Saccharomyces cerevisiae S288C: one gene and its partner. Changing the gene in region 2 together with the main gene of any one other region gives a genetic interaction. Each region holds a gene or a part of one and is shown on either strand. Other genes may lie near its edges.

Region 1 (3,076 bases), on a different chromosome or scaffold from region 2:
GCTTCAGTCTCTGCTGCATCATATCATAGATGTGACCAAGATAGTAGTCATTACCGTATGTATCTAATCGGGACACATATGGCGTCTTTGGCCAGATGCCTTTAATCTGAGGATCACCGAAGGCCAAAATATGAATATCCTCATCGTTACCTGCAGAGGCATGGCTACCATGCCATTGCTCTCGAACATCACTGAAGTAATTCTTCACTTTGTCCACAAAAGTCAAATCTTTCTGTAGTGGTGCGTTCTTGTTAGAGCAGTTCCATGAACACTGTTCTGGATGGAAAGATGGATAAGTATAGATGTAAATATTAGCGACGATAGTGAGGAAGGTGGCAAAATATGCAAACTTCTTGACCGCACACCTGAGCATCTTGGGATTCTTGGTACAATGCTGCTGCTGTTGTTTTCAGTTCTTCAATCGCGACCGGATAAATCGCTTGTAATAACTTAGTTTGCAATTTTTCTTAAAACTTCAGAAATCAAGTCACAATTGTAATGAATAATTTGGAAAACACAAGTCACCAAAAATAGCTCAATATTTGATAGTGACTAGGGGAGGAATCTAGCAAAAAAAACGTTCTTTATCTATATGAATATTTAGAAATTAAGATATGTAATTACTTTAAGATGTTCCGAGTAAGCAGAGGCGTTTCGCTCTATTTAAGCAACTGTTCCATTTTCATCTGCGCCAAATGATAAACAGTGTTGATTTCTCTTTCCAGGGCATTAATAAACAGAGTATAAATTTTAAATGCGTAGTATCTATTTGACATGACGAAATTGTAGAAATTCAACAGGTCCACAGTCAAAAACTGCTGCGAACCACGCATATAAATACCGATACATGTTACTACCAACGTCAAATACAGGAATCTTTTGACCAGAGTAATGAAGTTCATCAACAACTTGTAAAAGACATAAAATGTGAAGAAAATAAACAATAGTTGGAAAACTAACGGGTGTGATTGGCTGAACTTAGTAATAGTAGGAATCAACCATTGGATGACGTCAATGGCAGACTTTAGGCATTGTGTTACTACGGATAGTTCGTATTGCGGTTGAGTAGCGTCCATTTTTGGGTTGCTCACTTTGCCCTTTGGTGACTGTTACGAAATTTTTTTCAGTAGCTTTTTCTCTTCCAGTAATTATATTTTCTCTACAAAAAATATACTCACTACAAAAGCCAGCAAATAAATGATAATATTCGTACGACACTAGAGAATATGATATTGTATTAAGTAAATATATATATATAGAGAAGGAGAGAGAAAGACAAGAACAGGGCGGCTATTAAGCGTCGTCTTCGTCATTCATAGAGATAGCTGTCTGTGGCTTTTCTTCTTCTGCAACCTCAGGCTTTGCTTCCGGCTCTTCCGCAAATGAGTTGGATAGGAACTCTTTCATTAGGCCAGCCGAGGTTTCAAAATACTCAGCTTGAGCCTTGGCCAATTCCTTCAAATCTTCACTGAAGTTAGCGTGAGAAATAACCTCCTGCAAGCACACAGTAGCGTCTTCAGTGACTTGAGCAAACTGGTCTTCCAAAGTCTCCATTTGGACTCTCAAGGAAGCTTCCTTTTCTGGCTTCTTGTTGTTTGCCAAGTTAGTTCTTGCCACGTCATATCTTAATCTCATGGAATGGACATCCTTGCGGCACTTATCGGCCTTACCGATCTCAAAAGAGAGCCTTTCCCTCAAATTTTTATTGAATTTGGTTTGAATCAAGGTATCTTGTTGAATTCTAGCTTGAGCAATCTTAGCCTGCACATCACTGAATTGCAAGAGTGCCGAAGCCAAGGGTTGTTCCTCGGTGGGGAACATCTTGTTCAAACATTCACTGGAGTTCAAAGCCACTTTACTGAGGGCGTAGTTCAACGTCTTGGGTTCTTTGATGGGGCCTGGAGCAACTAAGATGTTTTGTGCCTCAGACGCAGATGTAGCATGAGTCAACTCTGTCAACTTGGAAGCCACGCTTCTTGAAAACTCGTTGACGGATTCGTTGATGTATTTAGGGTAATCGTACGATCCGTTTTCGTAGATAGCAGTTACACCCAAGAAGTGGTTGTAAATCAGTTTGATGGTGTCAACCTTATCTTCCAGCTCTGTGTACTCTCTTGGCAATTGGGAGATGTCCGTCACCTGGCCCAAACGTTCCTGGACCATTCTTTGGGTGGATTGCGCCAAACTGGGCAATTCCTGGGTTTTTTCGGAAACACTTGTGGATATTTCCTGTAATTTCTTGCTCAAAGAGCTGGCGAAGGCATTAAACGACATTGATGACTATGATTTGTTGCTTATTCCACTCCTCTGCCTACAAATCATATAGGTTATAGGTGAAGAAGGTTGCAATTTTCTTGTTTTTGACATCCCGATTAATCCACCGCTCGCTTCTCACGGTAATAAGGGAAAATGTCTGCCAGTATGAAGCAAACAACATTAAACTGAGAACATTGGTGAGTCAAGACCATAACTGGAAGACGTGGTATCAAGACGCCTTCACGGTAGTATGTGGAAGATTATGCGTTCATGGAAATGTGGGGGAATGCGCTGGGCACATCGCCAGCGACCCTCACACGAGCTGCTGTCGCAACTGTCGTTCGACCAGCATTACAAGATTAGGTCGAACATTGAGCTGCTGATACAGGACTACGCTAGTAAACCAATTGCGCCCCTAAACTACGAGTATTTCCTGCAATACAGGCCGCCGCTGACCAAGAAGGAGGAGTACATGCTGACGATCAAGACAATCAACCTGTTGCTTTCATTGACGTGTAAACGGCTTAATGCCATTCAGAGGCTACCGTATAATGCGGTAATCAACCCTCATATTGAGAGAACCAACTCTTTGTATTTGAAAAGCTTGCAAACGTTGCTATCAATCGCATACCCGTACGAGTTGCACAATCCTCCCAAGATACAGGCCAAGTTCACAGAACTGCTGGACGACCACGAGGACGCCATTGTGGTATTGGCAAAAGGTCTTCAGGAAATCCAATCGTGTTACCCAAAGTTTCAAATTTCGCAGTTCTTGAACTTCCACCTGAAGGAGAGAATCACGATGAAGCTGCTTGTGACG
Region 2 (3,759 bases):
TTTCAACCTCTATTTCAACAGAAGATGAAAGATCACCTCGGTCTGTTTTTAAATTATTATTGTTTTCACCTGTGAAGTCCTTTAGGGGTATTTGCTCTTCGGATTCGTCTAAAGACCTGCCCGATAAGTTGCTTCCATTTGAGTGCCCTAAATAAGATTCGGATACCTGCTCCTCTTTTTGAGGGCAGTTCGAATTTCTACTTTGTTGGAATTGAAGCATAGCCCTTGCGGCGAGATCATACAAATTATCAGGGGAATGCTCGTGCAAATCACTTTCGACACTTTTTCCTGTTACGTCATAACCTTCAACATCGTTAATTTGATTTTCTCTTTCTACTATAGCAGGATCAGTTTCATTCTCCAAAACATTTTCCGAGTATTCACTTTTGTTGTTGTTTCCGTGAAAATTTTTGTCTAGAGAGCTTCTGATAATGTCATCTTTTTCAGGTTCTTCGTCATTTTCCTGTTGTTCCACTTTGTTCTTAGTATAAGCATCTTTAGCGAAACCTTGGTCTCTGCTTTCGCTGGTATTCTCAGTTTCTTCTGACGTGCTTTTTTCGTTTTTCATTTTATATTCAAAATCATCTTCACTTCCTTGTTCGCTTTCTTGTGCACTTTGGGATTCACTATCTGAAGATTCTATATCTTCTATTAGTTCCTTATCATCCAGTTCATGTTCATTATGGTGGTACACATTTTCAGCATTTGCTGAGTAACTTTCAGCTTGACTTTCTTCATCCTCGGACTCATCGTCAACTGAAATATTTACTGAACCGAAATCAAATGCACCGTCTTCTGAATATCTTTGATGGACTTTGTGCTCATCAGATTCATATTTTTCGATAACGGGGATCTTAGTATTATCTGTTCTAGGCTGCATGTATTTTGAAAAATCTACCGAATGTTCTGTTCCTTCTGCACCCTGACTTTCATCTTTTTCAGCATCGCTTTCCACATCAATGTCGTCTTCTAATTCCATTTCTACTCCCTCTGAATAATTCTGTCCTTCACTGGAATCAGAAGAACTAATTTGTGTAGCATTCTCTACATTTGCCTGTTCTTGCCCTATATTCTTTCTCTCAACTTGCCCCTCCTCTTCGGCATATTCATCATTCGATACATCTTGTAGTGCTCCTTCCTCTGCATATTCTTCATCTGATAATATCATTATTGAAGGACTACTTTGGCCGTCACTATTCTTTTCTTCTTCAGAGAGCTCGTATTCATCATTTTCAAGATCGAAATCTTTGATTAAAGATTGTTTACCTTCCAGATCTTCATCCTTATCGGAGTCGATATTTGAGGACGACTCGTCCTCAGCGTCCGGTAAGGGAGAACTTATGAAACTATCTAAGGGAATTTCATCATTATTTTGGAAAGAAGTATCCGTTCCGTATTGGCTCTTCCTGAGATCGATTAGTCGCTGATGAGATTTACTGTTTCCTGTGTACTTGTTCATTAAAGAGTCATGAAGCTGAAAACGTTGTCTTTCCTCCTCAAGACTACGCTCAAACAAGGCATCTTCCTTTTCTAGTGTAGTAAGTATACTTTTCCCCCTATTAATTAGAGAATCTACCCAGCTTAATGCCCTCGCACTATCTTCATGAAGGGATTTATTATGAATATGACTGCTTCGCCTGGAGGAAATAGATTCATGTAAAGTCGAGTGCTGAGTAGGCTTTGCTACTCTGTATTTATCATTGTGGACCCTTGAGTACCCATGTTGATCTTTCATTTTGGAATCCTCGTCCGCGTCAAGGAGAGATGACAGTATTTTCAGTTTTCTTCTTGGGGTCGTCAGTTTAAGTTTATTTGCCCTTGGAGTAAAGGTTTCTTTTTTTTTTGACATATTTTCACAGTATAGATTTATTGGTTCTTGTACTTAACCCCTTGGTGAATTTACAACGTGTTCAATATACTTGTCAATAGGACTAAAGACTTTCTCGCATTTTAAATTCCTTTGTTTTCACTTCTTAAGAACAGCTCGCGGAACATGAAAATGGTGAAAAGTGCAAGTTAGAAGTTTTGAAAGAAAGTGAGCATAAAAGCAATAAAAATAGCCAGTGAACTTGCTTTTACATGCTAATATAGTAGATGGATAAAGAAATATATTGTGGATCGGTTCCTGTCAGCTATTTTGACCCGTTTGATTTATTTGAGAGTCTGAGGCCAGAGTTTCAGCAGATTTTACCGTTAGACAATATACATTGGAAGGCATTTGACGGAACTGTACGAACGGTTAACAGGCTTCCAATTGAATTGATTCCAGAAGGTAGAGGGGAGGCAGACAAGTCTAATGATGAACAGCCGTTTATCAGATTTTTGATAGTGAACTGTATCTCTATCGACCAATACAGGGCCAAAGTACGGCCTCTTGTGAGACAGTGGCTACCAAATCTGGAATCTGTATCTTCATCGACAGGAGAAAAAATGATTTATAAACCAATTATTTTACTGTATGCCAATTCTGAAGTAGTGGACTCTAACCTATTCAAATCGGTATCCCTAATGGAGAAATTTGGCAAAGACTTTCCGCATGTACAAACTTTGGAAGTTCGATCGGTTTATAGATCTCCCAAAGAAAGGCAGGAGTTTTGGAACCAATTTAGCCAAAAGATTAAGGCTTCCGTACTGAGCATCTTTCAAAAACGATTGACACATTTGCAACATTCGTTGGCCAATTTACAAAAAGGAAATAACTTTGAGGAACAGCTTTTGACAAGAGAAAAATTGTACGAGTTATATGTGGTATTCAATATTTTGGAAGATGCCAGCCTGGAATTGCAAAAAATCAAAAAAGAAATACTCCGTAGAAACATGAATATGCCGGATGGAAAACTTCAGGTACCTTTTGAATCATCTTCTAAATCAGATGAATCACTGGGCTCCATAATAATAGAAGGTACACTCGATAAGTTTCAATTGCATAAGTATTTTTTCATTAGAAGGTTAAGACTTCTAAAACTAGAGGACCAGACGTTGACCGCCTTTGTAGGAGCATTTCAACTAATCAAGAATTTTATTGAATCCATATCAATAGAGTATAGAAAGTCTGTGAGATTATTGGAATTTAAGCACTATTTTATAACTTCGATGCTGTCATATTTTGAATTTGAGAATGTCTCAAATCCTCTCTTGTGTGAAATCAAAGCTGAGTTATTAATGTTGAAGCGCGACAACTGGGTGCAAGGTGTTATGGCTACAAGTGGTTATAGACTAATGGACAAAAACTACCCTAATAGTGACGTTAAATACAAATTTGATCTATTAAAAGAAACTTTTGTCGATGAAACTGTCTTCCAAGAAAACTTCCTTACTCTCACCAAAGAAATTCTTTCTCTCTTCAACAAATGTGAAGGGAAGCGTCAAAGGATAGTAGATATTTTATCCATTGAGATAGGTTTGCTTTACTATCAGGGAAAGAAATATGAGGAGGCAGTCTCGCTTTTCCTTTCCTGTTACGAATATTATACTCAAACGAACTGGAATAGCATTGGTTTGAAAATATTGCAAGTTTTCATTGATTCCTTGAGCCACTGCCCCAAATTAGACGTCTTACAGATTGATGGGGAATCAGTTTCTGCATCGGCCGTTTTAACTAATGCATTTCTCAATATACTTAAGTTATGCAAAGATAACGATAGCAAGGAAATTTGGTGGAAAAAGTTCATGGATTTACAAATGAAAAATAACATTCATCTAATGTATCCTTTAGATGGGCTATTCGAAGTAACTTTGAATTCTAAAGTTCATCTGGCA

Evidence for each region. A genetic interaction does not mean that the proteins touch.
Region 1: mutations in ESC1 (region 2) and APQ12 together harm fitness more than expected from each alone (negative genetic interaction), as found in Saccharomyces cerevisiae (5 studies listed by BioGRID).

The regions. Positions count from the first base shown.
Region 1 is NC_001141.2:275,723-278,798, reverse strand, and holds APQ12 (Apq12p), read right to left. Parts: upstream 1,077-3,076; coding exon 660-1,076; downstream 1-659. Other genes in the region: TED1 (Ted1p), read right to left, coding at 1-373; GVP36 (Gvp36p), read right to left, coding at 1,294-2,274; protein kinase PKP1, read left to right, coding at 2,507-3,076. UniProt on the Saccharomyces cerevisiae protein: Involved in the regulation of lipid homeostasis in the endoplasmic reticulum, thereby impacting nuclear pore complex biogenesis and localization, and nucleocytoplasmic mRNA transport.
Region 2 is NC_001145.3:705,223-708,981, reverse strand, and holds the start of ESC1 (Esc1p), read right to left. Parts: upstream 1,850-3,759; coding exon 1-1,849. Other genes in the region: transport protein particle complex II subunit TRS130, read left to right, coding at 2,095-3,759. UniProt on the Saccharomyces cerevisiae protein: Involved in the clustering of telomeres at the nuclear periphery, forming discrete subcompartments that accumulate a complex of histone-binding silencing factors like SIR4. Required for SIR4-mediated anchoring and partitioning of plasmids.